7 linked regions of the Oryctolagus cuniculus genome follow. The protein of the gene in region 2 interacts with the protein of the main gene of each other region in a biochemical or structural test. Links are inferred from orthologs where the notes say so. Each region holds a gene or a part of one and is shown on either strand. Other genes may lie near its edges.

What was found.
Region 1: the proteins of UBE2E1 (region 2) and RNF4 form a complex in vitro, tested with the Homo sapiens proteins (2 studies listed by BioGRID, with this or other methods). The link is inferred for Oryctolagus cuniculus from reciprocal best matches to the Homo sapiens genes UBE2E1 and RNF4.
Region 3: the proteins of UBE2E1 (region 2) and IPO11 form a complex in vitro, tested with the Homo sapiens proteins (2 studies listed by BioGRID). The link is inferred for Oryctolagus cuniculus from reciprocal best matches to the Homo sapiens genes UBE2E1 and IPO11.
Region 4: the proteins of UBE2E1 (region 2) and PRKN form a complex in vitro, tested with the Homo sapiens proteins (2 studies listed by BioGRID). The link is inferred for Oryctolagus cuniculus from reciprocal best matches to the Homo sapiens genes UBE2E1 and PRKN.
Region 5: the proteins of UBE2E1 (region 2) and UBR7 form a complex in vitro, tested with the Homo sapiens proteins (2 studies listed by BioGRID). The link is inferred for Oryctolagus cuniculus from reciprocal best matches to the Homo sapiens genes UBE2E1 and UBR7.
Region 6: the proteins of UBE2E1 (region 2) and RNF167 form a complex in vitro, tested with the Homo sapiens proteins (3 studies listed by BioGRID). The link is inferred for Oryctolagus cuniculus from reciprocal best matches to the Homo sapiens genes UBE2E1 and RNF167.
Region 7: the proteins of UBE2E1 (region 2) and TRIM32 form a complex in vitro, tested with the Homo sapiens proteins (2 studies listed by BioGRID). The link is inferred for Oryctolagus cuniculus from reciprocal best matches to the Homo sapiens genes UBE2E1 and TRIM32.

The regions. Positions count from the first base shown.
Region 1 is NC_091433.1:1,254,021-1,257,957, reverse strand, and holds the start of RNF4 (E3 ubiquitin-protein ligase RNF4), read right to left. Parts: upstream 2,801-3,937; 5' UTR 2,641-2,800; intron 1-2,640. UniProt on the Homo sapiens protein: E3 ubiquitin-protein ligase which binds polysumoylated chains covalently attached to proteins and mediates 'Lys-6'-, 'Lys-11'-, 'Lys-48'- and 'Lys-63'-linked polyubiquitination of those substrates and their subsequent targeting to the proteasome for degradation.
Region 2 is NC_091435.1:159,786,927-159,790,384, reverse strand, and holds the end of UBE2E1 (ubiquitin-conjugating enzyme E2 E1), read right to left. Parts: intron 2,261-3,458; coding exon 2,113-2,260; intron 1,290-2,112; coding exon 1,192-1,289; 3' UTR 501-1,191; downstream 1-500. UniProt on the Homo sapiens protein: Accepts ubiquitin from the E1 complex and catalyzes its covalent attachment to other proteins. Catalyzes the covalent attachment of ISG15 to other proteins. Mediates the selective degradation of short-lived and abnormal proteins.
Region 3 is NC_091445.1:83,312,004-83,315,503, reverse strand, and holds part of IPO11 (importin-11), read right to left. Parts: intron 1,302-3,500; coding exon 1,109-1,301; intron 498-1,108; coding exon 345-497; intron 1-344. UniProt on the Homo sapiens protein: Functions in nuclear protein import as nuclear transport receptor. Serves as receptor for nuclear localization signals (NLS) in cargo substrates.
Region 4 is NC_091436.1:6,277,527-6,281,026, reverse strand, and holds part of PRKN (E3 ubiquitin-protein ligase parkin), read right to left. Parts: intron 936-3,500; coding exon 772-935; intron 1-771. UniProt on the Homo sapiens protein: Functions within a multiprotein E3 ubiquitin ligase complex, catalyzing the covalent attachment of ubiquitin moieties onto substrate proteins. Substrates include SYT11 and VDAC1.
Region 5 is NC_091451.1:38,190,981-38,194,480, reverse strand, and holds part of UBR7 (putative E3 ubiquitin-protein ligase UBR7), read right to left. Parts: coding exon 3,476-3,500; intron 2,276-3,475; coding exon 2,180-2,275; intron 1-2,179. UniProt on the Homo sapiens protein: E3 ubiquitin-protein ligase which is a component of the N-end rule pathway. Recognizes and binds to proteins bearing specific N-terminal residues that are destabilizing according to the N-end rule, leading to their ubiquitination and subsequent degradation.
Region 6 is NC_091448.1:51,300,652-51,304,697, forward strand, and holds the start of RNF167 (E3 ubiquitin-protein ligase RNF167), read right to left. Parts: upstream 2,801-4,046; 5' UTR 2,664-2,800; intron 2,526-2,663; 5' UTR 2,108-2,525; coding exon 2,024-2,107; intron 1,940-2,023; coding exon 1,859-1,939; intron 1,058-1,858; coding exon 932-1,057; intron 822-931; coding exon 734-821; intron 551-733; coding exon 460-550; intron 300-459; coding exon 194-299; intron 71-193; coding exon 1-70. Other genes in the region: SLC25A11 (mitochondrial 2-oxoglutarate/malate carrier protein), read left to right, coding at 3,125-3,219, 3,785-3,937, 4,024-4,046.
Region 7 is NC_091432.1:220,212,418-220,215,913, reverse strand, and holds the end of TRIM32 (E3 ubiquitin-protein ligase TRIM32), read right to left. Parts: 5' UTR 3,487-3,496; coding exon 1,525-3,486; 3' UTR 501-1,524; downstream 1-500. UniProt on the Homo sapiens protein: E3 ubiquitin ligase that plays a role in various biological processes including neural stem cell differentiation, innate immunity, inflammatory resonse and autophagy.

The sequences.
Region 1 (3,937 bases), on a different chromosome or scaffold from region 2:
GTGCCTCCAGTCTGTGCCATCTCTCTGGATCCTGCGTGTGTCTCCAGTCTGTGCCATCTCTCTGGATCCTGCGTGTGTCTCCAGTCTGTCCCATCTCTCTGGATCCTGCACGTGTCTCCAGTCTGTCTCATCTCTCTGGATCCTGCGTGTGCCTCCAGTCTGTGCCATCTCTCTGGATCCTGCGTGTGTCTCCAGTCTGTGCCATCTCTCTGGATCCTGCGTGTGCCTCCAGTCTGTCTCATCTCTCTGGATCCTGCATGTGTCTCCAGTCTGTCTCATCTCTCTGGATCCTGCGTGTGCCTCCAGTCTGTGCCATCTCTCTGGATCCTGCGTGTGTCTCCAGTCTGTCCCATCTCTCTGGATCCTGCACGTGTCTCCAGTCTGTCTCATCTCTCTGGATCCTGCGTGTGCCTCCAGTCTGTGCCATCTCTCTGGATCCTGCGTGTGTCTCCAGTCTGTGCCATCTCTCTGGATCCTGCGTGTGCCTCCAGTCTGTCTCATCTCTCTGGATCCTGCATGTGTCTCCAGTCTGTCTCATCTCTCTGGATCCTGCGTGTGTCTCCAGTCTGTGCCATCTCTCTGGATCCTGCGTGTGTCTCCAGTCTGTGCCATCTCTCTGGATCCTGCGTGTGTCTCCAGTCTGTCTCATCTCTCTGGATCCTGCGTGTGCCTCCAGTCTGTCTCATCTCTCTGGATCCTGCGTGTGTCTCCAGTCTGTCTCATCTCTCTGGATCCTGCGTGTGTCTCCAGTCTGTCTCATCTCTCTGGATCCTGCGTGTGTCTCCAGTCTGTCCCATCTCTCGGGATCCTGCGTGTGTCTCCAGTCTGTCCCATCTCTTGCCACACTTCCTGCACAGTCTGTACTTCAGTGTCAGGGACTTTCTGGGTCTCTCAGCCCTTAGCTCCAGGAGAGGCACCACATTCCTATTTTGTTCACTGTTGTAATCCACTACTGTTTGCTTCAAAACTGTGCTCAGAATATTAAAGTGTGTCTTCTGAAAGAGGGTGAAAAATCCTACTTATTTTATGTATTAAGAACAGATACATGGGGGCCAGCGCTGTAGCGTAGCAGGTAAAGCCGCAGCCTGCAGTGCAGGCATCCCATACGGCCACCGGTTTGAGTCCTGGCTGCTCTACTCCCCATGCAGCTCTCTGCTGTGGCCTGGGAAAGCAGTAGAGGATGGCCCAAGTGCTTGGGCCCTGCACCCGTGTGGGAGACCCGGAAGAAGCTCCTGGCTCCTGGCTTTGGAACAGTGCAGCTCCGGCCGTTGTAGCCATCTGGGGAGTGAACCAGCAGATGGAAGACCTCTATCTCTCTACCTCTCCTCTCTCTCTGTAATTCTACCAAGTGAATAAATAAATCTTTAAAAAAAAAAAAGAACAGATATATGTACAGTACACAAAGGACATACCATAGGAGCCAGCACTCTGGTGTAGCAGTTTCAGCCTCCCAAATGGAAGCCACTGGAATCCCAGCTGCTGCACTTCCAATCCCAAGCCCTGCTAATGCGCCCGGGAAGCAGATGGCCCCAGTGCTTGGGCCCTGGGCCGCCTTGGGAGACTCAGATAAAGCTCCTGGCTTCCACCCAGCCCAGCCCTGGTTACGGCGGCCATTTGGGGAGTGAACCAACAGATGAAGATCTGTCTCTCCCTTTCTCTACAGATGTTCACAGAATAAAAACCAGACACACAGTATGCCCATATACGCGGCCCTAACGTCATGGCGGCGAGCAGTCGGGACCCTCTTAAGCGTCATTAGTGAGGTTCCGGGTCAGGACTGGAAGGTCAAGTTCAAGCAACACAACGACCCCAAACTCACAAGCAAAACCGACCCAGAGCAAAAAAATCCCCTTCAACGCCGCCGCCTCCCACGGCCACACGGCCCGCACTCCGGGTCCCGCAGCTAGAACTCGGCTCCACCGTGCGACCGCGGGCCGCCCGCCTCACCCCCCAGGACCCCGGCACGGCTGCGCAGGCCGAGACCCCGAGCGTCCGCGGGCGCCGCAGGAAGACAAAAGCTGCATCCCGCAGGCGCGGCTCGCCCAGGCTCGGCCCTCCCCGCCCGAGGTGGACGCTGGTGGGCGCCCGGGGGTCCGCCGCGGGCTCCTACACGGGCCTCCGGGGCGGCGGCCACACGCTGCACCCGGAAGCGCGGGCTCCCCGGTTCCAGGCCCCGCGCCCAGCCGAGCCGAGCAGCGCGCCCGCCACGCGGCCAGGCGTTCCGGCGAGCTCGCGGGCCCCCGACGGCGGGCGGCGGCGCCAGCACAAAGGAGGACACGAGCCTTCACTGCCTCCCCGCCGCCGGCAGGCCCGGGCGCCTCTCCCGTGACCTTGGGCGCCCCGGCCCGAGCCTCAGTTTCCCTCTCGGAGTTCCGAGCCCGGTCGTGCGGCCGCGCCGGGGGAGCCCCCTAGACCTCCTCTCCCGCGCCCAGCGAGGCTCGGGACGCCGGCGCAGGCGGCGGGGCGGGTGGGCAGAGGCGGCCCGAAGTCCCGGCAGGCCCGGCCGGCCACGGGGCCCGCAGCGGGTCGCGCCGCGCTGGGCGGCCGCCGGAGGCGCGGACGCCGAGGCCTGGACAGGCCGCGCGAACGCGGCGTCTGCTGGGCCCGGCCGCCGCTCCCTCCCCGAGGAGCGGGCCTTACTCGGAGCTGCTCCGGTCCGGGAGGCACCGCCGCCACTGTCCTGGAGCGAGGAAGCACCTCTAAGCCGCTGAGGAGAAGCCCCCGAGCCAGGCGCCGCCGCCTCCACAGCAGTCCACTTCCGCTCCCGAGGCCCAGGCCCCGCCCCCCGCGCGTCCCCAGTGGCCGCCGCCTCCCCTTCGCCCGCGGCTGCCGGGGAAGGAGCCCTGTTTCCAATTCTATTGGATAAGGAAGACGTCCATTACCACTTTGAACCGCGTCGCTTCCGGCCCCGCCCACGCTCGCGCGCCTCAGCCCCCGCATTCCCGCGAGAGAGCTTGTCCGCGCCGCGCCGCCTGCAAGGCCTGTCGGGAGTTGTAGTCTGAGGGTGGTCCGAGCGCTTGGCCCGCGGCAGCTGCCCGCCGACCCCCGGTGACCCGCTCTCCGGAGCCGAGGGGGCTCCGAACGGTCCCGGTCCTGCGCTGCCACCCCGCACAGCAGCCACCATGGCGCTAACTTACGAGGCCGGCCGGCGACGTCAAGCTGGACGTTGGTCCAGACCAGACGTTGCGCCCAGCTCCCCGGGCCTGTTTCCTTGCCTGTTAACGAGACCTTGGAGAGGAATATTCCCGGGGCACGAGCTGGAAGCCGGGCCTGGATCAGCGCCGCCTGGTACCAGGCCCTGGACGGGGCGGGGCGGTCACCGTCCCCGCGAGGACCGGGCCCAGTCCCCACTGGCGAGCCCAGAGGGGCCCTAAACCGGCTTGTCTGGGAGGGCTGTCCAGAGGAAGCGAGCTTGGGGCCAAGAGCCGGAGTACCGGGCGGAAGAAGCAGAGAGTTGGGCAGGAAGCAGGGAGCTGGGTGTCCCGCAGCCTGGGGAGGGGAGTCAGGGTGTCAGGGGCCGGGTGGGCAGGAGGGGTGGGCGAGGGCCCGCAGGGAAGGCACCCCAGGACCGGCCTGGAGAAAGGTGTCCTCCCAGCCCCGGGCGCGGGCGGAGCCCTGGATGCCTCCTGCGGGCATCTGAGCCCCCGGGTCTCAGCCTGCCCTCACCTGTGATCCCCACACCGCCCTGGCAGGTGTGAGCCCCGCGGAGCTCCAGGCCCTGCGCTGGAGCCGGGCCTGTGATGCTGAGGCTGGCTGGACCCCTGAGTCCCAGCCCCGGCTCTTCCTTCCTAAACTTCGCTCTGAGTTGAGGCAGTGGGCACTTATCTCCCCTGCAGATAGCATCTGGACCCTAGGTCTGGCCTTGAGGGATTTTCTTTCCAGGAACTACTATGAGGGGTGGACAGGCAGGTGGGAGGTTAGGTCAGTACCCACAGGC
Region 2 (3,458 bases):
CTATCGCTCAGCTGTTGAGGCACACTCCTGCTTAGCTGGGGTGATTACTGATCGTTTACAGTTTGCTTTTTTTCCACAGAATGCAGCTTAGATCTGTGTTAGTGGATTCTTTTAAAATGCTGTAGTCAGTGTGTGTGGCCCTGGCTGGGTTTCTCTGGAGGAGACCCAAAAGCAGAACTGCTGGGTTATGGGAGGTGTAGCCTCAAGTGGGGTCAAACTGCCCTCCAGTGTGGTGCCCATTTAGCTATCCTTGTGACACAACCCGTTTCTCGTGGACTTGCTCCCACAGCACCTGCAGGTTAGAAAATGCTTGTAAAGAGATGCAGGACACTTCGTCTCTGAAAACCTGTTATTTAACCTTCTCTAAGACGTCTCAAAGTCTACTGTTGTATAAAAGTATCTATTCTAACATAGGTAAGTGCTATTTATTAAGTATTTTTAATTGTTGTAGAGCAAAGATCTGTCAATAAAGACAAAATAAACCCAGCAGCACCAGGTGGTTGTTTTTAATATTGTTTATTAGCACAGTAACAAACGAGGACTTAAGTAGTCCACAACATATAACCAATCCACCGAGCAACTCCTATCCACGCCTCACAGGTAACAGCTTAAGGTATTTCACTACAGGTTTCACAAGTCCTGATTCAAACTTTTAATCTTTTCACAATAAAGTAGATTGGCATATAAAATAAAATACATCAACTACTCATTTCCTATATGGTGTCTTATAGCCACATGTCCATTTTATATATATGAGATGAGTCTCTCTAAAAACTCTGTTAAATATCAATATTCTCTTGCAAGAAGAGAAAAACAAATTCCAATTTTTTTAAACAAAAGTATGTAGTCATAAAGGGACTTTACATCAATGGCCATGTATGTAACCTGTACAAAATTAAGCTGTTTTACAGACTACAAGCAACCAAACCCAAATGTCAAGATGTACATTCTTTTCTACATTTTAGCTAATACTGCAGAACTAATGACAATTTTAAAAGTCGCTATTACCAATTCTGTCTACTGTAGCAAGATACCTTAAGTTACAACAAAATCTTAGGAAATAAGACTGAATAATATCTGTTATAGAAATACCCTACTCTTTACCAACTCCCACCCTCCCCCATCCCTTCAAAATCATAAGCAGCTCTCTTCTGTGACAGACAAGTAATGTAAGCACTGTGAAAACCCCGTTTATGTGGCGTATCTCTTGGTCCACTGTCGGGCCATCCGGTCGTGCTCTGCTCTGTTGGTCATGTACTGGGTGGCGATGCTGCCCACCAGAGGGTCGGCTGCAAGAAGAAGAATGTAGGTTACTCCGGAGAAAGGAAAATGCAGTTTCAACTCTACAGTCAGACACCACTCTACTGTTCTGGGTATTTTTCCTTCCAGACTTTACAAAACACTGCATGGAGGAGGGACAGAGTACTGGTCTGGCTTTACTGCTTGGTTAACACCATTTCTCAACCAACACCACCCAGTAAGTCGCTTTTGCTCTTAACATGTTGGGCGGGCTCAGGGCTACAGGCTACAAAGGACGTCAGCCGTGTGGTGGCGATGTGCACTGTGTGAGCTCTTCGTGGCCGTGTGTGGTGGCGATAGGCACTGTATGAACTCTTTGTGGCTGTGTGGTGGCGATAGGCACTGTATGAGCTCTTCGTGGCCGTGTGTGGTGGCGATAGGCACTGTATGAGTTCTTCGTGGCCGTGGCACTTCCAGTTGCCAGCCAACACCTGGGCTGCAGTTGAGAACAGTGTGTTTCTGGCAACTTAACACAGCATCTTTACATTTACATTAGCTTATCCAGGGAAAACTTTTAATGGAATGCAGTCCCAACAAAATCACACTTCAGTAGTCACTAAGTATTTAGCAAAGAAATCCCATTTCAAAATTGAGCCCTGCCTCCGTAAGCAGCTCTGGCACAGTGAGCCAGGTGAGGTTAGGACAGACTAGACTCTTCAGTTTAAAATACTTTGTCCTAGAACATACTAGACAATGGTGAAGTTGCTCCCTTTGCCAACTCATCTCCATTAGAACTTTCTCTGAAAAGCAATTTCATTTTTGTCTTTTTCAGGTGAGGAAAAATAAAACAAGGTAGAGAATTGTTAACCTTACCAGGATTACAGTCTGTAAGAAGTGAGCAGATGGAAAGGAGGACTTTAGAAATAGTTAGTGCTGGACTCCAATTATCTTTCAATATGTCCAAGCAAATAACTCCTTGACTGTTAATATTACAGTGATAGATTCTTGTCCGAAATGTAACCTAAAAGAAAAGTCAAACAATAGCAACTGTTTAGGAATAACACTGTGGGACTGCTGTTTGGGGTGCCTGGTCCTGCGAATGCACCCAAGCCACCCATGCGGGAGGCCAGGTGGGGTCTCAGCCTGGCAGAGTGCACTCTGGCAGGTTCGCACGTTTGGGAAGCAAACCAACAGATGGAAAATCTCTCTCTAATAAACGGAAAGTTAATATAGTTTTAAATGTTCATTGGTCCTGTGTCAGGAATTGTCAATTTTAAAAGTAATGTCTTCAAAAAGCTAAAAGTTCGGTACCCTCCTGAGTTCATCTTCAGCAAGGTTACTGTTTAAATATTAGCATTTTGAAGCATGAATAGCTAATTGTTTGCTGACCTCTTGTGTTAGCTGGTAGTACTACACAATCTTCAATACCTCATAAAACCTGAGGTACAACATAGTCTGCATGTGATAGAATGCTTAGTAGGCAGTGGCTACACAACCAAAAAGCTCTTCAGGATTTGCGTTACACCAGTTCCCCCAGCCACCCTGTCTACCAGAACCCCAGGATTTATAGAGGGGTCTCCATGAGTGGGAAGCCCAGTGTGGGCAAGGACCAGTCAGCATGAGCCACAGAAGCAGGAGTTATTTTAATTGGTGCACATCATGTATTTCCACAAATAAAAATCAGGAGACCAAAGTAAAAATGACCAGAGGCTGGCTTTTTAGCCCAGCAGTTGAGATGCTCGTCTCCATGACAGCAGTGCCTGGGTCACTTCCGGGCTCCGGCTCCCTGCAAATGCGGACCCTGGGTGGCAGTGGCGATGGCTCAGGTCATTGGCGCTCTGCCACACACATGGGAGACCTGGGTCCACCACCCAGACCTCAGCTTTGGCCCAGCCTGGGTGGTTGCAGGCATTTGGGGAGTGAACCAGTGGATGGAAGAGCTCTGTCTCTCTCTCAAATATATAAAACAAATATTAAAAATAGAAACAGTAGCCAGAAGTGACACTGGTGTATGGGATGTGGGCACCCCGGGTGGTAGCTTGATGCACTGGGCCACAAAGCCTGCATATAAAACAAATATTAAAAATAGAAACAGTAGCCAGAAGTGACACTGGTGTATGGGATGTGGGCACTCCGGGTGGTAGCTTGATGCACTGGGCCACAAAGCCTGCCCCCCCCCCCCACTGAGTTTTTGTGCTTAACAGTTACCCTGAGAAAAC
Region 3 (3,500 bases), on a different chromosome or scaffold from region 2:
TATGTCAGGATGCCTGGGTTTGATTACTGGTTCCAATTCCCTACTCCGGCTTCCTGCTAATACAGACCCGAGAGACACAGATCTTAGCTGAAAAAAATGAATTCATCTCACTCACACAGGGGAACTGGTTCATTCCTGGCTATCAGCTTTGGCCCTGGCCCAACCCTGGTGATTATGGGCACTTGGGGAGTGAACCAACAAATGGAAACTTTCTTCTCTGATTCTCAAATAACAAAAACGCAAAAAAAAATTATACTACAATACAATGTTATCATTCCCATCATTCAAATAAATATCTACTTATAGAAAGGGAGAAAAGCCATGCCAAAAAAATTAATCCTTACTAAAGCCTTCTGGGTCTTCTTCCCACATTGTCAGTTCTTCTTCAGTTAACAGAAAATAGTGAGAGACTAATCTTCGACAGATCTCTGTCAAAGTGGGATATGTGAAGAATGCCATCTTAATCTTATGGGCTTCAAGAGTTTCAGGGCTGCTATCTAGAAAAATAAAACTTCCAAGTTAATTGTACAAGGCAACATTCAACTAACTTAGATAATGACACTTAAATAAATAAAAATAGACTCTCAGGGTAAAAGATATACTTGTGTATAGTTTTTCAGTTTTACAACACACATATTAGACAGTCTTAACTTTATTTAGAACACACATCAATGCTATTTCTGCCTTACTGTTACAGCTTATAAAGTTCTGTGCTGCATTATCACAACATAGAGAAGCAACTACTCTTCTCTCCCCTAGATTTCCTCATTCATCATGTTACACATGCATATGAATGAACCCCAAATAACATAAGAAACAAACTTGTTGCAAGCAATCTTATTTAAAGTAAGAGAAAGCTTTTAGTTGTTCAAACAAATAGCTGATAACATAAATTTCAGTGGTTCTTAAACCTATGAAGTTTAACTGCTGCAAAAAAAAATAGTTTACTAAATGTACTGCATGGTTTTTTTGGGGGGAAGCTGGTATTCACTAATTAAAAATGGCATTCCTTATCAATAAATGAGTTTCCAAAAAAATTATCAAGAGTGCAATTATACTTAGAGTAAAATAAAGAAAAAATATTTTTAAACTACCAGTAAAGTATTACCTTCAAAATTTTTAGATGGCTTATAAGCATAATTTTTGACAATCATCTTGATAAGATTCATGCATTGGACTATGAATCGCTCAAATGTAACACCTTCACCAACGTCGGTAAAAACATAGCTTACAGAAAATTCCAGTGATCTCTGAATTAGAGGAGTAAATGAAAAGGGATGCTGATCCAAGAAGTCCAGAAGCTATAAAGAAAGAATTCAAAATGCATTTTTCCCAAATTCATACTAGAATATAATCACTCCAATTGCAATTCTTCTAACACACATTTAGTAAGTTTTGAACCCTGAAGTGGAGTCTGTATTTGAGGTTTTACATTTATGATGCCCCTTCTTGGGATACATGATTTATGATGGATTACATCAGATTCTAACCCATAAAAAGAATTTGCTATTATTTGCAGTTCAGGCATCAAAACAGACCCACTTCATATTTAACATAAGAGTAAGTAAATATGTTAAAAACAGTTTAAGCATATTAAGTATAAGCCTTTAAAAGTCATAAAGGAAAAGAACTGAAAAATAACCCTGTTTTTTCTGCATAAAACTGTACTTTGATTTATCAAATAGTTGATGATGGAATTTTTTTGTTAATAAATATAAAAGGAATAACAGAATAGAACACCATCATTTTACAACCTCTAATCAAATAAAGGACCGAGGCAATGATGAAAAACGGCCACTGAAATCATGAAGGGAAAGGCTGTTGAGGAATTCTGATAGTTTACTCATCATCAGTCATAGCCACACAAAGAAAGACAAGCAGATAGTATGTGCTTTGTACTATGAGGCAATATGAAATACAAAGCACCATCTAGAAGGTATTCTTGTTAATCCTACCCTATCCCACAAAGCAAAAGACGGAGTGAGATTAAATCTCTACATCTAACTGCAAAGTCACAAAAATATGGAAGGAGGAGTGCAGACACAAAGGAACATATTAAATGACACACAGGGATAGAAGCTGACTAGTGCAAAATACAGAAAATTCTATTGGCGCTCTTCATCAACATTAACAATAGAAAATGACACTATTTGAATCCTACTTCCTATAAAACAATAAAATTTTTGAAAAATCAGAGATATTTAATAACTGACAATCAAATTAGGAAATTCATTATTGTGAAACACAATGATTTTGATAAGATTTTTTTTTAGTTTATTTTTATTTATTTTAAACACAGATCGACAGAGACAGAGAAATCTTTCACCTGCTGGTTCACTACCCTAAATGCCTGTAATAACTACACAGGGCTGGGTCAGGCTGAAGCCAAGAATCAGTAAGTACATCCAGGTCTCCCACATGAGCAGCAGGGACCCAACTATTTGAACTATCATCACATTTTCTTTTGGGGGAAGAAAAAAAAAAAAAAACCCTCAGGTGTGTGTTTGGCACAGCAATTAAGATCTTGATGTTCCTAACCTATATCATAGTGCATGAGAGTCAGCTTCCTGGTAAGGTACATCACAGGAGGCAGCAGATGATTGTTCAAGTACTTGGCTCCCTGCCACCTACAGGAGAGACCTGGACTGAGTTTCTGGCCCCTGGCTTCAGCCCAGCCCAGTCATGGTGGTTGTGGGAACTGGGGAATGAGCCAGGGGACAGAAGATCTCTCCGTATCTGCCTCTGTCTCTCAAATATGTTTCTTTAAAGATTTCATTGCTTAGCAACACATACTCAAATATTTTGCAGATAATACTAAATGAAATCTGAAGTTTGCTTACAGGGGTGGGGAACCTTTTGTCTGACAAGGACCATTTGGATATTTATAACATTATTCATGAGCCATACAAAATTATCAACTTAAAAATTAGCCTGCTTGAGGCTGGTGTTGTGGCATACTAAGTGAAGTCTCTGCCTGCAGTGCCTACATCCCATATGGGCGTCAGTTTGGGTCCCAGCTGCTCCACTTCCAATCCAGCTCCCTGCTGGTGCACCTGGGAAAAGAAGATGGTCCAGGTCCTTGGGCCCCTGCACTCTCAGTGAGACCGGGAAGAGGCTCCTGAATTCAGTACAGCCCAGCTCCGGCCCGTTGCAGCCACTTGGGGAGTGAACCAGCGGATGGAAGACATCCCTCTTTCTTCTTTCCTTCTGCCTCTCTGTACCTCTGCTTTTCAAATAAGTAAATAAATCTTTAAAAAAAAAAAAAATTAGCCTGTTCGCTGTGACACCGTAGGTTAGTGCCAGCAGCCCATATCGGTCCCTGTTCATGTCCCGGATGCTCCTGTTCTGATCTAGCTCTCTGCTATGGCCTGGGAAAGCAGCAGAAGGTGGCCCAAGTGCTTGGACCCCTGCACCCACATAGGAGACCATGAAGAAGCTCCTGGCTCCTGGCTTTGGATCAGCCCAGCTCTGGCCATTTTGGCCATTGGGCAAGTGAACCA
Region 4 (3,500 bases), on a different chromosome or scaffold from region 2:
CCTTTAGCATGCAGATTTTACTGGCCTGCTTCCCCAGCAAGCTACTGGCTGTCCTACTAGGTGACGGCACTGTCATAAACCCCCAATTCCCTCAAAAATCACCACTGAGCTGGGATGCCCTGGGAGCAGAGGACACGCAAGGCTCACTCTGCAGTCGCCAGAGGTCTGTTTGAGAGAAAATTTGACAGAACTTTAGGAAAACTGCATGCAAAGCAGCCTTCTGCTGTGCCCAGGCCTTCTCCTTTCCCCACCAGACTCTGGAACTGGTCAAGCGATTCTCAGGAGCTGACTATGGGTCTGAGAGGCACCTGCTCCAGTACACGCGGCGGCAACCCCAAGCGTCCTCCAGGGGTCACACTCGGGTTACGAATCCACACAGCGCAGTGACTGAGCAGCCTGATTGGGCACAATTTATTCGATTCCTTCTTCATTAAGATTCAAACGGAATAAGTAAGGTAGAAATTGAACAGACACAGAAATTGTGCCTTGCTGCTCCTGTAGTCAGTAAACATTTATTCACGGTGCCCAGCTCGCGGGCCGTGCGCTCTCTCCCCCTCACTTACAGCGGTGCTTCCAATCCTTACTGCTTGCCGTTTTAATGCATAATTAAGAAGGTCAGAATTAATGAAGCATTGTGGAGTAAAGTTCAAGGAATCCCCAGGCACTATTTATTCTATTAGATCTCGGGCATGAATGTCAGATTGGCAGCAGAAGCGGCATTGGCAATCGGGCTAGTGGTGTCCTGGGAGCAATCCGCCCGGGGAGACTCACCTGCACTGTTGACTCATCCCCAAGCTCCTTCCCTGCGAAGATCACACGCAACTGGTCAGCTGGAACCCCCTGTCGCTTAGCAACCGCCTCCTTGAGCTGGGAGATGCTGGTGTCAGAATCGACCTCCACTGGGAAACCGTGGCTGGAGTTGAACCTGACGAACACTGAACCACAGAAATGGGAAGAGAAAAGAAAGGCAGTGAGCCTGACTTGAAGCCCTCAAATCGCAGTGACAGCATTTCTGAACTGACTTACCCTCACCTGCCCTTCAACGAATGGCACACATTTTCTTTCACTTAAAACAAAAAAATAATAATGCTACTAATGCTATCTGGAGCAATAGTTTGAGGAAAAATGGAGTTTCCCAGTAGGATTTCCCTTTCATATATTAGTCAGTGACCCGCAAACCAAAATTGCACACTCCCTTTGACATCTATTCTGGGAAAGAGAGGGAGTCAAGCAGAACCCTTGCTTGATTGGAATTGTAAGATTCCCAGGAGTTCGTATAGGAGATTCAGCTCTGACAGCCTGTACAAACTCGCCCGCCATCCATAGGGCCCCTCCTAACAAAAAGAAAAGGCAGTATGCCAGCAGCACTCAAGGAGAAATGGAAAAGGTCCAGGCCACTTCACAGACCACAGTGAAGACCCTCTCGGTGCCGCAGCTGCTGCACAAAACGCTCCACTGGGGCTATGGACACAATCATTCTCCTTTTCTTTTGAAGCGTCTGACAGCACTGCTCTTTCTGCAGCCACTCTTCCCCACCGGGACCACACAGTCTTTTGCCTGCTGTCTTCTCACTTCAGTGGCCACCCCCTTTCAATGCCTCTCAAGCCAGAACTCTCCTTTCCACAACTTCGTGCACCGCTCTAAGTCAGCCTCTCATCAAATCTTTGCTAGATTCTTGCAGTAGCATCCAAACTGGAGTCTTTTTTTTTTAAAAAGATTTTATTTATTTTATTTGAGAGTTAGAGTTGCAGACAGATGGAGAGACAGAGAGAAAGGTCTTCCTTCCGTTGGTTCACCCCCCAAATGGCCGCTACGGCCGGCGCTACACCGATCTGAAGCCTGGAGCCAGGTGCTTCTTCCTGGTCTCCCATGTGCGTGTAGGGACCCAAGCACTTGGGCCATCTTCTACTGCTTTCCCAGGCCACAGCAGAGAGCTGGACTGGAAGAGGGGCAGCCGAGACTAGAACCAGTGCCCATATGGGATGCCGGCGCCACAGCGGAGGATTAACCTACTGTGCCACAGCCCCGGCCCCCAAACGGGAGTCTTGATCCATTCTTCTTCACTTCTGAAAGCCCCCGCACCATGCTACAAGAAGACTTATCAATCCAGAGTTCTGACCATGTCACCTTCTGCTATCAGATCCAGCAAAAAATTGATTTTGCAGATATTAATCCATTTTTTGTTGATATAAAAAAAGACACTTGAAGTTTTTCTTCTCAAGAAAAGAGGTTTATTCAGCTCCACAGTTTGGGAGGCTGCATGTTCAAAATTAGGCAGCTACATCGGTTTGGCCTCTCCGAGGTCCCCGTTGGCTGTCTCACAACATTGTGGACAAGTAGGAAGGAAATGGCTGCACACAAAAGAGGCCAAGCCCAAAAAGAGACCTCATTTTATGGCAACCCACTCTTGTGAGAACTGAGGTTCCACAAGAACTAAGAACTACATGAATCCCTTCCGAGTGTGATGCCTCCAATGGCCTAATTGCCTCCTAACTGGGAACCAAGCCTCCCACACACAGACCAGAGCCTTGGGGACACATTCAGCCAGAGCAGGTCTCCAGTGACATTTATTATGTGAGTCTTACAACACTTGACAGGTTCCAGGTAGAAGCAACATAGCACAGAGGTTCAAATCCATCTATATGCTCCTTTGTGGATTTTGTAGGTTTTGTAGCCTGAATATAAACATACTAACCCTCACTCTTTGAATCTCAGCTCTCTAATATTCTTTTATTTTCTTTAAAATTTATTTTATTTGAAAGGCAGAGTGACAGAGAGAAAAGGAAAGACAGAGAGAGAAACAGATCTTCTATCTACTGGTTTACTCCACATATGGCTGCAATGACAGGTGTTGGGCCAGACCAGAGCTTTCAGGATTAAGCACTGGGGCTACCTTCCACTGATTTCACAGGAGCATTAGCAGGAAGCTGCATATGAAGTGGAGCAGCTGGCACTTGAACCAGCACTCATATAGGATGCTGGTGTTGTAGGCAATGGCTTAACCTGCTGCACCACAACATGGGGCCCCAACTCTAATCTTGAACATATGAACAAACCATGGGGAATGTTATGTGACACATTAAATAAAATTTTGCAGTATTTCCCTAGTAACTTCTGGTAACTTTCCAAATAGTAAATATTTGCATGTGTCTCAGTTATTTTGGGTGTACATTTCATCTTCTTTAAAAGATGATAAACTCAATGCCAGGTAATTTTACTATTATTTCTCTTTTAAATATGGCATAATTGCCAACTTGCTCTCAATTAAAATGAGATGACCCACTTAATAATGATTATAATAAAATAATAATTACAATGCCAATAATCATCAGGTACTTACAATGTGCCCGGTGTTATACCTTAGATCTGGTCAGGTCACCATTATTATCCTGATTTAATAGAATAGTAAATGAGGGCCCAGAGAATTATAATCACCTTCCTAAGGACATCAACAACTTTTTTTAATCAGAATTCACATTCAGTTCAATCTAACTCTAATG
Region 5 (3,500 bases), on a different chromosome or scaffold from region 2:
TGTCACAAAGGGTTACACTGAGACAGCACTTCGCAAGCAGTTATCAAGGCTCTTTCGAAGCAGATACCTAATATCTGAATCTCATAAAACCTTAGAGATAAGTAGGGTATTTCTATTTTATATAACACTGCCTTGTTGTTCTTCCTAATTTTTTAAAGGAAAATATGCCCACCACACACATATATTTAAAAATACTGTTTTATTGTTTTCTCTGCTTTTGTCAATTTATTCAACATCTTCTATTTTGTCTTTTTACAACACTTTTGGAAGTAACACTTGAAGCACCAGCATTGAGGTGTACCAGATTAAGCCACCCCTTGCAACACTGGTATCCTGAATCAGAATGTTGGTTTGAGCCCTGGCTGCTCCACTCCCAATCCAATTTCCTGCTAATGTCCCTGGGAAAGCAGCAGAAAATGGCCCAGGTGCTTGGGTCCCTGCCACCCAAGTGGGAAAGTCAGCTGGAACTCCTGGCTCCTGGCTTCAGCCTAGCCCAGTCCTGGAGGTGTGGCCACTTGAGGAGTGAACTAGCATATGAAAGGTCTCTTTCTGTCTATCCCCCTCTCTCTGCCATTCTGCCCTTCAAATAAATAAATCTTAAAAAAAAAAAAAAAAAGGAAAACTTTACCCTATCATTTAAAATATCCAGTTTTAAAGTTTTATTTTTGATAACTCAAAAAGATATCTTCAATTTGTCCCTCTATGCCACTTGGTTTAATAATTATAGTTGCAAGACAATTAGGAAGCAAGGAAGAAAACATAAAGTTAATTTCTCGCAATGTAAAAAGCCTCCAATAAGTAAATAGACAAACCCAATCCAATCAAAGCATAGACTGATGATATGAAGAGCAATTCAGAGAGAAGGTTACTACAAACATCCAAAAAACTCTTGAAAAGATGCACAATCTCACTCATGATCGGGAAAAGAAAGGTATTTTTCTTCATTTATCAGAACGGCAAAGTTTTAAGGGACTGGTAATGAGCACAGTTAACTGGAGTACTGGGGGGAAATCAATACCGTTGGTGGCTGAATCCTTTCGGCAGACACAGTCTCAATTTTAAAAGCCAATGTCCTATGACCACCAGCAGCCACACTACCTGATACCTGCAGGGGAGTGTTCAGCACATTAATGCAGAAGAGTGTTCACTGAGGTGAAAAATCAATCACACCATGCTATTTTGCTACAGACCAAGAGCTAGGTTAGTTAACTCACGGCATGTCCAATTGCAGGATATTCTGCCAACAATAAAACCAAGTAGATATGTGTTGGTATGGAAGGAAGTCTATGATACATTGATTGAGAAAAGCCAATCGCAGGAGTGAATACATGGAATTTTCACTTTGGTTACAAAAGGAAACCATGGGACCGGCACTGTGGTGTAGTGGGCTAAGCCTCCACCTGTGGCGCCAGCATCCCATATGAGCACTGGTTTAAGTCCCAGCTGCTCCACTTCCGATTCAGCTCTCTGCTGTGGCCTGGGAAAGCAGTGAAAGACCCTTGCACACAGGTGGGTGAACAGGAAGAAGCTCCTGCCTCCTGGCTTCAGATCAGCTCCGGCCACTGCAGCCATTTGGGGAGTAAACCAGTGGATGGAAGACTCTCTCTGCCTCTCTGTAACTCTGCCTTTTAAATAAATACATCTTCAAGAAAAAAAAAAACTCTACACATTGAAATAAATATACATTCATTCAATCACTTTTAAGTGCACAGAAAAAGACCTAAAAAATTATACACCAAAAAGTGTTAACAGTGGTTATGCCTGGGAGTTAAGAGGTGCAGGACCAAGTAATCCATTCTAAATTTTGTATATTCTTCGAATTGAAATTGCTCAAAGGATCCACTTTGTACACTCCATTTCTTTCCTTCCAAAGAGGCAAACAGCTGAAGGTCTCTTAGAAAGTGTTTGGGGGATGGAGCAGGCAGGCAGGAACGTTGCTGAGAAGAGGCATTTTGGTCCTGGGAAAACTCACTCCAATATTTCATTTTTATGATCAAAGAAACGAGAGTTGAGCTCTGTACCAGTTATAGATCCAACCCATATTCCTGAGAGATACATCTGGAATCCTCCCACATTCCCAAAACTCCTCCTGAAATGCTGCAGAGGACCAGGGGTGCCAAGAGGCTGAGAAGTCAAGGCTAAGGTAACAGGTCCAGGTTTTAATTTCCAATCCTCTTACCTCATCTTCAGGGTCGGGATAAGGTCTCTTACAAATGCAGTATAGTCCAAAAAAGTTGTCATTGTACTTATTGCCAGAATTTACCTTTGCTTTGTCCTAAAAGATAATACTAATTTCAACATACAATATTTTAAATTTTCAACTACAGCTTCATGTACCATAAAATTTACATATTCAACAAATTGCTGCATGAAATTTACCTCATAAGGTGGTTCTTCAACTTTCAAAGTATAAAGAGAAAAAAGTCACTTTTACTAAAAGGATACTTTTTCCAAGACTCAAGGAAAAAAATTAAACTCTCTTTTTGCACCTTTTTCTGTACCAACTGTGGCAAACTCAATACAGAATTAAATAAAGCAGAGACAAGAGTTAATTATGAACATTAATTTTTCAATCGCCTAGAATTTCTGCGTTCTTCTTTATGCTCAGCTGTGATAGCCAAGGCCCCTAGCTTACTAGGAGGCTTAAAAGAGGCAAAGAAATTGTCCAAAACTAGCATCAAAGGAGGAGAAAAGCATGACAATTTCCGCAATGATGACTGAACAGCGTAGCATTCTTGGTAATCATAACTTCTATTAGCCAAAAAACATTTTAAAAGTTCTTTGTGCATCTAGCCCACATTCATTAGTACAAAGCTTTATTTATTCAGGTTTTTAAGGTCAGATCCTTTGTTTTAAAAGCATCACACACACACACACACACACACACAGACTGAGCACACAAAGGCACAGAGGGTCTTTGGCACAGTGAGGATGGCACTTGGAAAGCCTGCATCCCACAGTGGAGTGCCTGGGTTAGGATTTCAGCTCGACCTCCAATTCCAGCTTCCTGCTAATGAACACCCGTGACAGTGGTGCTGCCTCAAGTACTGGATTCCATCACCCACGTGGGAGGAGGCCTGGTCTGAGTTCCAGTCTCCCGGCTTTGGCATGGCCCAGCACCAGCTGTTGCCAGCGTTAGGAGAGTGAACCAGCAGCTGGTATATTGCTGCCTGTGTATGTCTCCCCGCTGCCTTTCAAATAAGAATGTATAACTAACATAAAATCTCAGAGCATAAGCACAATCAACTTCGAAAGACCTGACTCAATTTAAAAAACATTTTCCCTCAAAACTTTTCATGTTAATGATAATCCATATTGTAGACTCTGAACATGCTGTGTAGTTTTCCCAACAAAATAAGAAATGAAAAATACTTTTGCAAGGAATAAAAAGGAAAAACTCCCCGTCTGGAAAACATTTGGCAATTATAAACATCAACTTCTTTAAATGCCTTTATAGTTACAATGCTTAACTTACAGGAAATAATTTGCATTCCAAATTT
Region 6 (4,046 bases), on a different chromosome or scaffold from region 2:
TCTGTCTCAGCTGCTCTTTGGTGAGTCGATTTCGCTGGAGCCGTTTCCGGTGCTGGATACAACGAACTATCTGGGGGAAGGGAGGTGGACGGATCAGACTCAGAAGAAAACCGGACAAGTGTGAACTCTGCCTCCAGTTCCAATCTGGGTTCCTAAGTCCAGCTCTTCCTATCATGTCCCCTGAGCTACTCACCATCACCGCTCCCATGGCCAAAACCAGCAGTCCCACAATCCCGGTGAACGGGATGAGGTAATAGCCCAGAGGGAAGCTGTTGTCTGGAACCAGAAGCACCCGAGCCCTAGGGAAGGGACAACAGTGTCACAGGGGCAAGAAAGGCCGGAGGACAAAGCACACAGGACAGAGTAACTGGTGCTGCGGCCACGGGGCGGGGCGGGGCAGGAGTGACCTGAGCTGAGTGCTGGGGGCCAGGAGGAGAGGGAGGGAGGCGCGTGTCCTACCCCTTCTCATAGACAAAGAGGGCGCGCAGGTACTCGGAGCTCCTCTCCCCGATGAACACTGACGGGATCCAGATCTGCTGCTGGATTTCCTCTGCAAGGAGCACGCTGTTGGGGGGGCTCACCCTCCACTTCTCAGGCCCTCGGGGAGCCCTGCCGGCTGACGCGTCTGTCCCCTCCCACCCAAAATACTGGCTGCTTTGGCCTGAGCCGTCAGCCCTCCCACCAGCTCTGTCAGCTCTCCGACAAACCCCGCCTCGCAGAGCCACCCACTTACCACTGTTCCACACCATGTTCAGAAGTTCGTTGGAATTCACGTTGTGCACCACGGCTGCCCCGTACCCGGCCTTCTGTGCATTCAGGACCTAGCGAAACAAGGCAGGGGTAGGGAGCCATCATGGGCCTTGCCTTGCTTCATTTCTGGTCCACTCTTTTTCACCCTTAGCTTCCCAGCTCCCACTCCACGTTCAGCAACCTTGAGGTCAAAGTTGCAGTCGAATCTTCGAAGCAGTGCAATAAAGACTGACCCATTGACCGGGGCTGGGGGTGGTGGGGCAATGGGGCTGCAGGCATTGTCTGGGTGAGCCTCCACAAGGAACCCCTGCGGGAGAGAGGCAGATGACAGTTAGGTTTCTCCTCTCTAGGTTCTGGCCCCCCCATACCACACAGCCTCTGTCCTCACTTCCTTCTCACTCCTGGGTCTCGGCACCCCACCCAAACCAGAGTCTGTCTCCTCCCTCAGCCTCCTGAAAGTGCAGCCACATCAAACAGCTGCCTCTCCCGTCCCAGGTCGCCTGCCTGCACGCCATACCTACACTGACGCAGTCCCGCAGATTCAGCTTCCCCACAGATTGTAATTCCATTCTCTACGCAGCCACGTTTTCCTAAATTGTTTTACATTCGCAGCTCCAGTCCACACTGCCCTCCCTTCAGTCAGTTTCCCAACTACCCATCTACACCCAAATCTGCAGCCCACCGAGAGCTGCTATGTGGCAGCCCTGGCAATAAAGTCCTGCAACGCCGCTTATCCAATTGTCACTAATTTAACTTATCTAATTGTAATCACGGTAACTCTGAAGTAACTTCCATGATCACCCCACTTCGCAGTAATCAAAGGCTCAGAGAGATGATATCGAAGGTCATGCGACCAATAGCTGGCTGGGGACCCTACTGCTGAGCGCCAGTCATCGCCTTTGCAGTCTCCGGGTAAGCCCAGAGTGGAGAGTGGGCACTGTCTTCTTCCCCTAGATTCTGGATTCCACGCATGTTCACGCACTTCGATCCTAACCGGACTCTAACTATCCCCAGCCAGACCCGGGGCATGGCTCCTCAACCCCGCCCAGGATGGAGGATTTGGACAAAGAGGGGAGGGGAAAAAAAAAAAAAAAAGAACGCCAATCACCTGGAGTCCCTCCTGGCTCAGGGAGGCCCCAAACAGAGCTGGCAGGTCTGCAAAGTCCATGCTGGCATTGTGCTCCGAGGTCTGGGGGCACAAAACGTCCACGTTCCCCTCCGGCCCGCAACGCCCCCCTCCGGCGCCCTTCCTCCACCCGCCCCACAGACTCACCGCTCGGATGAGGCCCCGGATGGGGGCTGCTCCCCACAGCACGGCGGCCACAACCACAGGAAGCGGGAAGGCCGCGCGGTGCATGGCAGCGGGCGGGGAGAGGCCGAGGAGGCCGCGGCCCGGGAGCAGAAGCAGAAGCGGGGCTCTGCGCCCTCCCCGCCGCTCCCTCAGGATCCCAGGGGTCCAACCACCCCCAGGTCCCACTTCCCAGCTACATGGGGGCGCCGGGGAAGGAACCCCGACCCGGGGAGCGAGGCCCCAAGCCCGTTTAGCGGAGCTGGGTCGGAGACTCTAAATGGACCCTTTTCTGGATTGGGGACAAAACGGGGAGAGGGGACGGAAGGAAACACAGGTGACAGCAAAACTTCTGGAAGGGTGGGGGAGCCCCGGGAGGTGGGACTTCCGGCCAGGTGGGCCGTCTTCCTATCCCTGGGAAAAAGGTTTCCGACAAAGAGTCAGGCCGCTTCCAGCATTGGCCGCTCAAGATGAAGGACTTCCGGTCCTGAAAGGCCGGTTAAGAGAAAAATTAGAGATGGAGGGATTGTCTGTGGAAACGGAGGGCGCACGGCTGCCCCCCAGAAGAAGAGCGAATCATTTCCCCCTTAGTGCCCGGGAACCTGGGGCTTCCCTGTTTACAAACCTCTCCGCTCCCTGTGGCCGCCGCTGCCGCCGCACCTGCAAGTCTCGCGAGAAGGCTTACCAGCCCACTCCCCCGCCCCCACGGCTGCCGAAAGCTTGCTCTACATATCGCGAGAGCCCTCCTAACTCTGGGAGCCGGACTGACTAGATCTCGCGAGACCTCGAACAGCTTGTCTAGTTTCCCGCGATTCCAAGTCGGTGAAGACTGTGCCTATACGCCAGTTTCCAACCAAGCCACGCCCCTTCCCGCACGCAGCCTTTAAGCTCCTCCTTCAGGGTCGCCTTACTCCCGGCGGCCTTTGCGCTTTGCGCCTGCGCGGGCGCCGGCTTGCAGCTGGTGCTGGACCTGGGAGCCGGAGGGGCGTGCGCGCGCGCCCTCGCCCTGTTGCGCGCGCGGTGTCACCTTGGGCGCGAGCGGGGCCGCGCGCTCTCGGGACCCGGAGCCAGGGCCATTGAGTGGCGATGGCGGCGACGGCGAGTCCCGGGGCCGGCGGGATGGACGGGAAGCCCCGTACCTCCCCTAAGTCCGTCAAGTTCCTGTTTGGGGGCCTGGCCGGGTAAGCTCAGGCCCCAGGGATGGGAAAGGAGGAGGAAGGGACGGACGGGCCCGGTTCATCTCTGGGACTGTTTCAGTGAACTGAGCCTGCTTGAGGGTCAGCGCGATCCCCAGCGTGTTGGGAGGTTCCTGATGGGCTGCCCCTGACTGCATGCAGGGTCTTGGCACGATCCCCCACCCCGCACCTCCCCAGTCCGTTGCTTGGTTCCGCAGGGCTGTTTAGGGTTCCATGACTCTAGGGGACTACTTAGTGCCCCAGGTCGTGGATACGCCCTTGGCCCGCTCCCTGGGTCGCACTGCATGCGGTCCCGGCCCACCGGGCCCACCGATGGACTCCCGTGGATCTGCTTGGAGTAGTTTCATTGCATGACCCCTAATGGACAATGGACTTTCCAGAACCCGCTGCTGTTGGTACACACAGAGACTGTCAGACACATGCCTACCAGCCCTCCTTAATCCCTAATCCGAGGCAGGCCCTGACCTTAGTAACCCCTTGTGCTAGGCTGCAGTAGGCAGCGGGAGATCTTGCACACGTGGCCCTTGACCCTGCTCCCACCTTCCTCCAGGATGGGAGCTACGGTTTTTGTGCAGCCCCTGGACCTGGTGAAGAACCGGATGCAGCTGAGCGGGGAAGGTGCCAAGACCAAAGAGTACAAAACCAGCTTCCATGCCCTTACCAGCATCCTGAAGGCGGAAGGGATAAGGGGCATTTACACCGGGTACTGGGGCCTCCAAGGTTGGGGGGAGGGTGTGGGTTTGGCAGATGCAAGCCTTGGCCCCACACACTGACCCCTCTGCTCTCCAGGCTGTCAGCTGGCCTGCTGCGCC
Region 7 (3,496 bases), on a different chromosome or scaffold from region 2:
TACTTCTCCTGGTCTCCCATGGGGTGCAGGGCCCAAGCACTTGGGCCATTCTCCACTGCACTCCCTGGCCACAGCAGAGAGCTGGCCTGGAAGAGGGGCAACCGGGACAGAATCCGGTGCCCCGACCGGGACTAGAACCCGGTGTGCTGGCGTCGCAAGGCGGAGGATTAGCCTAGTGAGCCGCGGCGCCGGTCCCCACTTCTGGTATTCTTAAAAGCACTTTCCTTTTATGACCTGTAATTATAAGAATAAAACATGATGGCAGCTCAATCTAGAACAGGTTTTGGTGACTCTAAACTTTGGGGGTTGATTCTGTACATATGTAGGAGAGACATCTGGATTATTTGTACATAATGGTACTTTGAATTGAATATGGACCTGGGTGGATCCTTATGCTGTGAAACAATGGAGTGTCAGAGAAGGAATAAAATGGCATCATTCAAGTTATCCCTCTCCTCACCTCCCATATCCCATATTTAATGAAAAGACATGAACACCACTTTTGAAGAAACAGTTATCAATGATTTAATGCTTGATAGAGGAACAGAAATCAATACTTAAATCAAATAGTATGCAGTCACTTGAGGAAAATACAGAATAACCACCAAACATTTCTATTGTTTTAGTAATGAAAATGAGATGTGTCCACCTCTCCAATGTGCTTTACAATTCTGCAGACAGTCTTAACACAGGTCACTGGAGAGAGGTAGATGAAAAATGATGTGCCCTAGAAACTATACAAGTTTGTTGGCTGTATCAGTATTTATATTTGTTTATTGCCATCTTTCTATGTCTTGGCTTTTTTCCAATCCATATGATCCTTTAGAAGGCAAGAAATGTCCATGCTGAAGTTTCAACAGTAACCAACTAGGGTTAATCCATTTTTTTGTTACACCTGCAATAAGAAACCAATCCAAGATGGCACAGTCCTCAGCCAAGAGGTATGGTATTATATCCCTTGGTGATACTAAATGAATGAGCTTTCACACTAAAGGTGATCTGACCTGAAGTATCATGCTACAGGGATATGATTTCTGAAATATCACTGAAAGGCAGAGCAGATTCCACTGAAGCATGCACACTGAATGCAACCAGAGTTGAAGACAAAGTGTCACGGATAAAGCACATTATTATAGGAAAGAAACAATGGACCAGGGACATCGAAGCCAAAAGGAGAAAAATCAACAGGGTTTCAATACAAGGGCACATTTCAAACACAGAGACAAGAAGTTAGAGTGGGTGTTTCTACTGAAGCCTTGGAAGTGCCTAATTTCTAATTAAACTTCAGCTAACACCATCATGTGTGCTATTTGGGACAATGCATTTATCAAAGCTTTAAATTTAGGCAGGAGTGGAATGGAAGGGAAGGAGGCTTAACAAATAAAAAACACTAAAATACTAAAATTCTAGGACTACCCAGTTGGAGACAAGACCTAGGCCAAGTCTACTTTATGGTGCCACCAACCAAGGTCTGAGGGAAGGGAAGTTGGCTGGGAAGCAGAAGAAATTGGTATTTCTTATACCCTAGGGGGTGGAATATCTTCTCAGATGATAGCTGTAGATCTTGATACAATGATCCCAACAATCCAAGACTAGCAGCTGTCCCTTAGGAGTGAGGGCAATGCCCACAGGACAGGTGAGTCCCTCTCGAATCAGGACACTAAAGCCCCCACCCTTAGGAAAATGGAGGATTTCCTTGCGACTACTGTCAGCCACGATGAGGTCACCACGAGCATCCACACACATGCCAGCAATGCAGCGGAAGTCCTCATTCTCTGAGAAGAAGTGGCTGATCTGGCGACCCAGCTGCCCATCAGGACCCACAGAGCCAATGGAGAAGCCACCCTCCAGGTGGTGCTCATTCTGCCGATTCTCCAGATTGAGGCCTAAGCCCTGGGTGAAGTAGACGGTGCCTTCAGCATCACAGGTGACAAACTTGGGCCGCACAGCACTGCAGAGGCAGCTGTATTTGACCACCCCTGCTCCTCGGTCAACAGTGAAACACCAAAGCTTTCCCCCTTCTACATCAGTTACCACAAACTGACCAGATGGCAGGGCTGTGATACCCCATGGTTTGCTCAGCTGGCTTCTATGACAGGCCACGCAGTGGCCATCCAAGGTATATACCTTGAGGGAGTTGTCATAGCTGTCAGTCACACCAATCAGCCCATGGCAGTTCATGGCCACTGAGAGAGGAGTGAGATTGGGCAAATCAGCCCCCAGGAAGCTTAGCACAAAGCCATCAATGCCACTGGGGCTGCGGCGGATCTCCTTCAAAAATCCTTTGCGAGTAAAGACTTGTATGCGGTAGTTACCACGGTCAGCAACCAGCACCTCCCCTTGACTGGTCACATACAGACTGACTGGAAGATTGAACATGCCTGGAGTGCTGCCTTTGGCCCCCATCTTCTTGAGAAATAGGCACTGCTGGATATTGGAAGTGGCCTCAGGACCTCGGTGTTTAGCAGGTGAGGCCCTAGGGCTGGCAGCTACTTCCTCAGGGCTCATGTCCATCTCTCTAAATGTAACAGAAGTAGAGGCAGCAGAAGCTGCAGCCTCCATGGCCCAGGAATCTTCCATGTTAACTGTTCGGGGCTTTTTAACTGCCTGCCCAATTTGGAGGGGGCCGACATGACCTACCTTAAGGAGCTCCACATCTTGTAGGGTGAGCTCCCGGGGCAAGCTGGCAGTGAGCTCTGGCTCTTCCTCATCAGCTGTCTCCTCCAGGAGGGCCACATCTGCCTGCTTGATCTTGGCCAGGAAGTAGTCACAGCGAGACACCGCCTGGACCTCTGCAATGTTAAGCAGGTAACTCTGTTCCTCAACAACCTGAGTATTGGACTTCTCAACTTCAGCCAAAGAGCCTGTGAAAAACTTCCGAGAACGGGCCAGCTCATCCTGGACCCTGCGCTCCTCATGCCCGTACTCCTGAAGAACTGCTTTGTATCTTGCTTGAAGGTCCTTGGACACGCCTTCTAAGGCTACTTTCCGCCGCTGCAGCTCTTCCATGAGCTCCCTCAGACGGGTTAACTTCTCTCCAAAGTCTCGACGCCGCTCCTCAGCTGCCTCTTTGACAGGAAGTGTACTGTGGCCAGGAGGTTGGTGGTCTGCTTCCCGGCAGGGCTCACACAACACCAAGCCACAGCTCCGGCAGAACTGCCGGGGCAGCCGCCGCCCACAAGCGCGGCACATAAGCAGCCCTACAGCCTCACTGAGTCCAGCTGTGTCGATGATCTTCAGCACAGTCAGGTTGTCTGTGAGCTGGGTCAGGCTGGTTATGCGGGTAATCTTGCTGCAAAAGGGACAGCGGACACCATTGATGCTACTGGCCAGGAGCTTCTCCAGGCACTGGCGGCAGATGGTATGACCACAGTGCAGGAGCTTAGGTCGCAGCTGCTCTTCCGTGAAGGACTCCATACAAATGGGGCATTCCAGCACTTCCCGGAGAGCATCCAGGTTCAAGTGAGACGCTGCTGCTGCGGCCATCACTCTTCCT